Linked DNA regions of Caenorhabditis elegans. The protein of the gene in region 1 interacts with the protein of each later gene in a pairwise test. Each region holds a gene or a part of one and is shown in the gene's direction. Other genes may lie near its edges. The genes, in order: gakh-1 and F45D3.2.

What was found.
Region 2: the proteins of gakh-1 (region 1) and F45D3.2 interact in a two-hybrid assay, tested with the Caenorhabditis elegans proteins (one large-scale study listed by BioGRID).

Annotation. Positions count from the first base shown.
Region 1 is NC_003284.9:5,781,821-5,787,193, forward strand, and holds gakh-1 (Protein kinase domain-containing protein), read left to right. Parts: upstream 1-1,584; coding exon 1,585-1,726; intron 1,727-1,774; coding exon 1,775-2,002; intron 2,003-2,332; coding exon 2,333-2,488; intron 2,489-2,530; coding exon 2,531-2,625; intron 2,626-2,671; coding exon 2,672-2,900; intron 2,901-2,961; coding exon 2,962-3,327; intron 3,328-3,376; coding exon 3,377-3,628; intron 3,629-3,933; coding exon 3,934-4,038; intron 4,039-4,190; coding exon 4,191-4,330; 3' UTR 4,331-4,635; downstream 4,636-5,373. Other genes in the region: F46G11.6 (ZP domain-containing protein), read left to right, coding at 4,708-4,876, 5,024-5,196, 5,252-5,373.
Region 2 is NC_003283.11:12,538,928-12,543,643, forward strand, and holds F45D3.2 (Homeobox domain-containing protein), read left to right. Parts: upstream 1-2,111; 5' UTR 2,112-2,150; coding exon 2,151-2,240; intron 2,241-2,292; coding exon 2,293-2,863; intron 2,864-2,916; coding exon 2,917-3,053; coding exon of another isoform or gene 3,054-3,061; intron 3,062-3,348; coding exon 3,349-3,540; 3' UTR 3,541-4,050; downstream 4,051-4,716.

The DNA of each region.
Region 1 (5,373 bases):
AGGGAAAAAACCTTAAACTGGTTGAAAAAAGCGGTTCAAAAGTAAGAGTTTGGATGTCAACGGGCATAAGTGACGGGCGTTTATGTGAACGACTCTTTCCTAAACAGGTTTTCTCCGGACAAATGAAAACGAAAACATAAGCGACGAGAAAAGAAGGGGAACTGAACCGAAAGGGGCAAATGGAGGAAGAGGAGGCACACGAAATGTAGAGAGACCGCGTCGCAGCCGCACGCGAGCTGATGTGGTGGTTGTGGTTTGAAAATAGAAATGACACTCTCGAAAAGGAAGGAGAAAGAGAGTATATCACCGCTCCCGAGTATCACCACCTGCCAAGTAGGTGCCATTGAATTCAACCATTTTTATGAATGAATTATGATTTAAAATACATTAGAAGTTGAAGATAATCGAAAGACTACAGAAAAAACGCAAAAAAAGATAAAAGTAATGTTACATAAAGTTTTCGGTAAAACTGGTTGAGCGAAAAATCACAAAAGATGTTTGTTTTTACGAGAGCTGCAACTGGTTCCACGTTGTTACATGTTGTGAGGTAGCAAATGCGTCAGCAGCCACCACTTGGCGCGTTTCGTGTGCGTTCCCCCACACCAAAAAAGGGCGCATTGTATGCAACATTTGCGTTTTTTCATTGATTTTCCTAATTTATTACAACGTGAATTTATTTTTAAACAGAAATCAGTACACTAACATTCACAGTCTTGCAATAAATGCTGCACTGACAAACAATAAGTTTTGCACTGAAAAAAATCGTTTTTTGTCATTGCAAAAAATTTTCAGTTTGCTGTAAAAATTAAATGAAACCTTTAACCCGTTTTCTTATAAAAGAAAGTTTTAATTGTCTTGTTCAACAAAACATTGAAAATTTTCGCAACGATTAAAAAAGCAATAGATGTGATATGAACTTTTCTATTTAAAATTGAAGAACATTGTGTTAGTTTCTACTTTTTTTTTAACATCAATTATTTTTGATCAATGATCATTTAAATTATTGGCTTTCTTCAAACTCGCTCCAAGCAAATTAGCTCAATTTTGCCAACAACACATCCTCCGTTGCCAACCGACACCCCACTTTCGCTGCTGCTGCCCAAATACTCCGCTTCTCTCAGGATTTTTCGACCACGAGAGTACATTTCAGTAGATGCGAGATGGAATCTATCCTATTCCTGACAAATAATGTGAATTTCTTGCCGTTAGTCTTGCGCTAATGGAAATGTGTACTTTATATTCTATGCAGATGAAGCTTTAAAGATAGGAAGGCTTAAGCGTATTTCTTATTGATTGAAACGTGTAAAAACATCATTTGCAAATTTAGAATAATTTTTGAGAAGCAAGATATGTAAATTGAGAAAAGAATGTTCTTCATAAGTCCAATTCTTAATTTTGAAAAAAATTATGTTATAGATACCACCTGAGACCTTTGAATTAAATTGTAAATTGTACATTTTTATCCCTGGTCTTATACTTTTTCATATATTTTTTTCCTTTTTCATATTGATGCACCGCTCATAAAACTATCACATTTTATTATTTTTAATGCACTCATTCTACTATAAATCTGCAATTTCCAAGATGGCATTTGCCCGCGCTCTTGGTGTGATTCAATCTGTCGGTCGAGGCGCAGGAATCAGTGAGCAGAGTGAGCTCTACGATCGTGGTCAGACATTCAGCATTAACGGAAACAATTATCGAGTGGAAAAGGTAATAGCCAAAGGTTAGTGGCCATAAATGACAATTTTCGAAGAGAGCTTATGTTTTGCAGGCGGTTTTGGAACGGTGTTTCTTGCGACCAACACCAAGGGAAAACAAGTCGCCGTGAAGATCATGCTGAGCCACGATGCAGCCGCGACGAAGGATATTGATAATGAAATTGATATGATGAAGAAGCTCCAACACGAAAATATTATTCAACTGTTTGATGCGTCAGCTGAAAGCAGAAGTTCAAATCGGTCCGTGAAAGAGTACAAAATATCAATGGAATATTGCAAATGTGGGTTGAATTTTTTTTGTTGCAAACTCACTCTCAAAAAGTATATTGTTAAAGTGGAGTACCGAAAGAAATCGGCGATTTTGTCTGAAAAAAGACGCAAAATGGCCCAAACCTACCGAATTTTGTGTAATTTGTTATTACTAATTTATTACTTGTTGATTCGTTGATTGAGATGTTTTTCAGTCAGTTTTTTTTCAATTTTCAGAATGTCTCATTACAAAACTGGATAGTTTTGGGCCATTTTGGGTCTAAAAAAGCAAAGTCTCCGATTATGGTACTCCACCTTTAATGTACATACAATTTAATGTATATAACTAAATTTTATTTCAGTTTCAATTGCGGATGTGCTTCTCAAGTACAAAGAAGTCTCAATTGACTTTGTCGTTCGCATAATCTACTTTACAACAAGAGCCCTAGTATATTTGCATTCCGTCGGCGCCATCCACCGAGATATCAAAGCAGAAAATTTGCTTATAAACGGAAATGGTTGGTCTTTCGTTGCTGATTTTAGCTAAAACTATTTTTCAGGAAAACTAAAACTATGCGATTTTGGAAGTGCTACAACAAAGTCCATCGAGATGGCACCACTATCAAATTCCGAAAGATTAGCGGTTCAGGAAGAGGTCATTCCGAAATAAATTTTAAATGAAATTGAAATCTAATTTTCAGATGTTCAAATACACAACACCTATCACCCGATCCCCAGAAGTTTGTGATGTCTACTCAAATTGGCCTATCGGAAAACAACAAGACAACTGGGCAATGGGGTGTTTGATCTATTTTGTTGCGTTTGGAGAGCATCCATTTGATGGATCAGCGCTGGCAATTATCAACGGAAAGTACAAGAAGCCACCACCGGTTCAGCAAAACCAGTTATCAGCGTTTGCAGATTTAATTGGTAAGGAGTTTTCTGCTGGGCGTAAAAATAATAAATAAAGAAATATAAACCCAACTTACAGCAAAGTGTCTGACACCCAATCCGGATGAACGAATTACTGCTGCAAAAATTGAGGAATACATGAAACTAGCAATGCAGAAACAACCAAAACTAGCTGCAAAAACTGATTTCACGGATATACTCGATCTGATGAATGTTCAACCGGTACAAGCGGAGCAAAGTATCGAATCGCAAGCTGCAAAAGGATTCTTTACAATGCAGGACAAACTATTTTCCAATTTGACATCACTCAAAAATACAGTTGTACAGCAGACGAATAAAATGGGATGGGGAATGGAGCCAACAAATACTACACCACGCCCCGGGCACCCTTCAACATCTCCGAAGCTTGTGCCAAAAACACATAGATCAAATCAACAGCAAGAGAGTGAGTGAATGAATTGATTGAAACTTCTCTAATGCCAGTATATTTTCAGAAAACGCACCACCGAGACCACCCACAACAGCAAGCCCTCGTGCAGCCCCAGTTGCAACATTCAAAGTTTCATGGCCGACTGATAGTTCTCAGAATGATTCTGCAAACGATTGGGGAGACTTTAGTCAAGCACCGCCAGCGGTGAATGTTTCGAAAAAAGACGTATTCGATCCGTTTAGCGAGTCAGCATCACACAATTTGTCTGCAAAACATAGCGAAGATCTGTTATCCTTACAGAATTGGCCAGGAACTGGTAAGATTTAGGACACTGAAAACTGCGGAAAGCAATTGAACAGCAATTGAATTCCAAACGAATCCTATGTCATTTAAAAGGGGACCTTCAAACCAGATTAAAATTTTTGATGATTTGTACGGTGCTTAGATGAAGGCAATAAGGCTACTTCCTGTCAAAACTTGGAAACTTTCTCCCAAACATTCTGAATATATTGAAAGCTTTTCTGTGAAAATTTTGCAAGTGTCTGACAACATTATATGTTTTTGAGCAGCTACGAATAATTTCCAATATATTTCCCTATGTTAAAAATAATTTGTCTTCAGCTGAGCACAAACCAGAGGTACGATCCCAATCTTCACGAGACTTGTTTGACTTTGACGACCTGATGCTCCGACACACGACACCTTCCGCCGAATCTTCTCAAGCTGGTACGGTTTGTTCCTCTACGCAGTTATCATTTGCTATGTATTCATTTTGTTACAACCTCCTCTTCATGAATCACTAAATGATTCATCAAAGGAATCAGCCCAAACCAAATGATATCCTCTTTTCAAATCTCATTTCCTTTTTCCTTTTTCAGTTTTACAACCAATACGCCAAGTGGAGAACAAGAACTTGACCAAAGTCGATGTTTCAAAAAACGGAATTGGTTCGTCATCCTCTTCTGCCAGCCTGGATGATATGGTCAGCGATATGATGAAAATGTCAACCAAGAAATAGATTAAAATAGTAAAGTAGTTCAAAAATTATAGTTATTTATCATATTTTCACTTTCTTTCCCGTCCTGTGAATGTTTTGTACGAATTTTGCCAATAATTGAAAGATGGAAATGTACTTATAACGAGTATCTTCTTCTCTTCAATACTCATTTTATAAATCTTTCAGAAAAAAATCCATCCTCATTCCTTCATTTTTTTGTTTCTCTGTAAATAAAATGTATCCTAAATTATGCTTACTTCTTAACTTGTACATCAAAAAATTCAAATGTTTTATCGTCTACGAAAAGTAATAAATCAAGAAGAACACATTGTTCCGAACGCAATGACCTACTTGTATCGGGGTATCTCCAGAATGGAATGAATCGATCCAGCATACAAATGTCCAACCAACTTCTCGTATTCATACTTTTTCTTAGCGTTCTAGCGCCCACGCTATCCATCTATAAGTCAAAACAAAAACCGAACTTGTTGTCGAAAACTGTTGATAATAGTATAACGTGCGACTTTTCGATTCACAAAAAGGGACCTTATGGACAAGTTGTTTCAGGTATGCTTTAGTTCTGGTGTTTGAAAAAAGTTTCAGAAAATAACAAATTTGAATTTAAAAAAAAAAGAAGTTTGTAAAAAACTACAAACATATACAATGTCTGTCAAACAGCCTCTGTTATTGTTTCAAAAAGTTCAAAAATTTCAGGAGCATCTCTTGACGACGAGATTTACTATAAAATAAAGTGTAAGCCAATAACTGGAAATTGCCTCCAAGTTGTAAATTGCACATTGAGCTCGGATGAGCCAGGTTTCCAGCCATACCCTATTATTGATGATATGGGATGTAGCCTTGAAGAGTCACTGTTCAAAAATGTTCAGGTATCAAGAATTTAGGAAATTTGGAGAACAATATCTACAAAATGTCTATTTTCAGTATCCAAACCACTTTGAGGCGGGAATCTTCAATCCCTTCCCAATTCGGTTCCGTGCGTCGTCTGCCGCCGTTGTCTTGTTCTGTGTAACAACTGTGGTTCCAATTGAACATGGGCAGTGTAC
Region 2 (4,716 bases), on another chromosome or scaffold:
TATTCAAAACTTTAATTCACAAATGCAAACTATTCGAAATCTTATATGATTCATGTTAGACTTTCAACTTTCTTCTGATCGCAAGTACTCCATCAATTTGTCAAGACGAGAGTTGGCCTCTACTGCCAAAGATCTTATTTTTCTCGATAATCTTGAATCACTTTCCATCTCTATTCCTCTTCTTCATTAAACTTTTTATAACATGTCAAGGTTTTTATTGGATCTTTGTTTTTAGTTAGTTGTGACCCAATCACTAACGTCACCACAAGAATTCTCTTTCCAAATACAGTAGCCAAATTCCCATGAGGTTTTCACATCGACTTTGGTTCCCAGTCTCCACCAAGGAAGAGATAGAGGGTACATCAATTTGTGTAACGGGTCCTTCTTTTTCCGTCTTTTTCTTCTGAGCGTGGAGAGAAAATGTGTGTGTCGTCTATCTCTCCATCATACTCTACATGCCCTTTTGTTATTTCGCACTTCCCCGCAGCGCCAGGCCTCCTAGGCATCCCCAGACTGAAAGGTCGACCTCTCATACTTCTCCATTCCTTTTCCTTTCCTTTTTCTTCCTTATTCAAGCTTAATCTTAGTCAGATTTTCTGATAGATACTGACTCATTTTTTCTTCATAATGTAACATAACACATAACACCTGCATGTGAGATCTTGACGTGGTCAATTTGTACTTTTTGCTATTTTGTTATTGCTTCTCTAATCTGATCTGGTCTCAATCACATTTTTATCTTCCGTCTTCATGATGCCTTTTTGTGATAAGAAATGAGTTAGATAATAGAAATGAATAGCAAAAAAGCGAACTTTTAGTGATCACGATCAGAACAGTTATTGAAGAATAAAAACAAAACAAAAAGTTCATGATGTGTGTCCATGTGTCTGGTACATGTGTCTGTTTCAGTTATTCTGAGAACTACGTCAATTTCGTGCTCAAGTAAATTTTCATATTCCATAGTTAGAATATCAATCAGCTGCTATCTCTTGTATATTTGCCAACAAGTGCAGATAAATTTAATATGAACTATCTGAGCAATGCATAACCTGTGCCCAATAATGTTTTTAGTTTTACATCATTAATTTCAGCTGCTCGCATCTTATTAGTCCTTTCCATAATCTTCTTTCTTCTCCTCCTCTTTTGCACTTTTCCTAGCATTCTCAATGCCCCACCCACCCCCTTCTTCATCTTTTTTTCCTTTCCGAGAGCGTAAGTGGGCGGAGCCTTCTGTCGAGATGCCAGGACGTCAGTCACTCATTGCCATGCTACTCACGTTTTGGCTTGTCATTTTTTTGGTCACAGTTGTCAGGAAGCTTATCAAATCGTTTTACGCTTTCACGCAAAGTTCTATTCATATCAGTTCATTTTTGTAAAAGTGCATTTGAGTCACTGATTGTTTTTTAAGACATCGAATCCCTCATTTATCCGTCTAACCCTAAAATTGGCATCCGATCTTCCTTAAATCCTCATTTTGGCATCTTGAAAATTATTAGTTTAAGCAAAAAGTTCAGTTGAAGTACACTTGACTTCACCTTTTCAGTTTCCAGTTTTTGTCATGATCATCATCGTTTATATACCATGAAGGGCACCTTCATATCCTTTTTGGAACCAATTGCGCACGCCTGTCTGTCTCTAAAGCACTTCTTGTTTTTCATATGTGAGTGTGGAGAGTGAGAGTAAACCGGGAAAAAAACAACGACAAAGCTAGAAGGGAAAGTAAGAAAAAATAGAAGGAAAAGTGACAAAATAGAATAGAATAGACGTGTGTGTGTGTGTGCGTGGTCTGTGTATTGTTGAGGACACCGGTTCACCACTTTTTCCCTCGAATTCCCTGTTTGGCAGAGACTGAAGCTGAAATTTTTTGTTAGACTTCCGACATTTTTCCATCAAAACTTGATCACATTCGCTCAGAGATGAATCTCCAGTTTCAGTACACTTGCGGGCGCCGCCGCCGCCGAAATTCTGCACTTTGCCTCCAGATTCCCTTGTCCTTTTTGTTTTCGACACTGCGATTTGTCGTTTTGATTCACTAGTCTGTTCCTCCTTTTCCTATTTTTCTAATTCCTAAACGATTACAGTGACATTTGAAAAACGTTCGAATATTTTCAGGGATATCTTCTTTTCCCTTGCATTCAAAAGAATAAGAAATGGACCAACTGACTTCCCAGCTTGGAAGCGCTGAGCTTCAGGCTCTTATTGCTGCCTTGCCACATGATTTGACTCTTAACCCAGTAACTGTAAGTTTTAAATCAAATATGCAAAATATAAATCAAAATCTCATTATTTCAGAGCAAACCATCATCTGCATCAAGCAGTGATTTATCGGCATCTACTTCTACATCTTCATGTATTTTTCCTCCAATCAACGATATGACAGCACTTTCAATGCTTTCCCTAGGTGCCTATCCTGGCCTGTTCACTGGATTCCCACTTTTGTCTACTTTGCCATACTTGAATCTTCCACCACACTCAACAATCGAATCATTGGGACTTATCAACTCAGCCCTTTATCAACAACAAAAAGATGTTCAAGCTGCAATGAACTCACCAGTTAACCAATTTACTGCTGGATTAGCAGCTGATGGACGCCCAAGAGCATTTTCAAGCGCTGCCACTTTGCAACACGGAAAAGATCAAGAGAAACGACGAAAGAGAACAAGAAAGATGGAACCATCACTTCCAATTACAACAAGTACCATTACATGTTCCTCGAATTCGTCTCCCTCATCAAGCTCTATAACTACATCTGTGCTCCGAACATTAGTAGAAGATGATGATGCAGATGTGCATCCAAATAAAGTTCGACCAATTCAAGTAACAAAAGAGGAAGAGGATCTTGTTAGAAGAAAAACTCAAGAATGTAAGTCGTATATTCAAATTTTATAAATTTAAATTTACAATTCTAAATTTCAGTGCTCAAATCCATGCCCCTTCAAAAATTAGAGCCAGAAGTCAGCGCAAGTGGCCCACTTCGCCGTCTTATTCGAGACGAAGACCTTCCAGACGAGGTCGGACCAGATTCGCCATTCCGCCACTACCCAAAGTATCAGGTACACAAGTTAGTAGTTTTTCGATTCTTCCTTTTCTTAATAGTTTAAATCGAAATCTTCTCTCTATTCTTCTACTTTTTTCACATTTTAATGATATTGTCGTGCTTGACAGAACTGCATATTTTACAACCAATTTTTGTTTTAGAAAATTAATTTTAAAAACGCAGCTCTGGTGTGAAAGTAAAGTATTTGATTTTTATTTGATCTGTCATTAAGTTTAAATTGTTCAATAAAATTTCAATTTGCACACTCTTTGAAATTTGAAATACATTTTTTAAACTCTTTTTATTTTCAGCAGAAGCCCCGTTCACAACTAGTCATGCTTCAAGGAATCCAAGCGGCAGTCGCATGTATGTGCATTGAAGCTTTTCAACTCGACGATAAAACCGATGAGGAGAAAAAAGCTTTTTGTCAAAAACAACAAGGCCTTTCACTTGATGATTTGGTCAAGGAAACTGTGCGTCAGGAACTTGTAGCTGCAGAGTAGAACGTTTAGCTCTCATTATTTATACCTATCCACTTCTTTTTCGTTTTCAACCAGCTTTTACTCTAAGTTCAATTTTACTCAATATGGATAGGTTACAGTTTTCCCCGTTGAAATAGCCCCTATTTTGCTCTCAAAAACTACTCACTATTACGTCTCAAGGATCAACCGTTGCGTGTGCATTTTTCGTCTCCCCGTTCCATTTTTTGCTCTTCTCTTTTTTTTCTCTTTGACTAGAACTGTTTCTTTTGGATGGTCAAAGAGGAAAATTTAATTTTAATGTTTTTGAACAAAACTTCAATGCTTTAATATTTTATGTCCGTTTCATATTTTCCAACTTTGTATTTCCTGTTTTAAGCTTAAACCTTCATTTCCAAACGTCTCAATGTAATTCTCACAACATTGCCCAGCCTTTCAAATGATTAACATTTTTTTGTAAAAATTAAACGTTTAAATTCTAAAAATAATCAATCTGTACAAACAAATATGAATAAACATTCTGCAAATTGATAAGTTCATCCAAATGTAGTTTTCAGAAAAAAATAACACATCAAGTACCGTACTATTTTAAATCATGTGGCTTAGACTTTTGAGTTGTTTTCGACAAGTTCACGTCATTTTTCTCTCATTTCCAGTTTCCGTTTTGCACTTTCATTGATCAGTTACCCAGTTTTTAGGAAAATAAAAAAGGGCAATGGGGGATGCGGAAGTCTTTCAGCAGAATGTCACATTTTCAGAGAATGACCTTCGAAGTTTAGATGAAGACTGTAGTTGTTCAAAGCATAAACAAAATTTACAGTGAACTTACAACGTTTGCAAGTGCTTTTCAGAAATATGACTTATGAAGTACAGTTATTCCTAAGCAAACAAAAATGTGCCTGATGAAATAAGTAGCTAAACAACTCAAAAATAGAACGTGGGTGTCCGGTAAAAGCACTTTACTGTTTGAATTTGATTCAACAGCATTTTAAATAGAAGTGTGATAAGACAGCAACAATTTATAAGTTGGTAAATCAATTTTAGGCTATTTTGAATATTTAAAATAGGAAAATGTGTTAGTTTTTGAAAAAAGTGTCCCAAATAAAAAAGATTACCGAATAACAAGGTTCAAGTTCCAATGGTTCGAGACCAATTTGACATTAAAATAAAAACGGGAATATTTTATTTTTGCACAAAAAA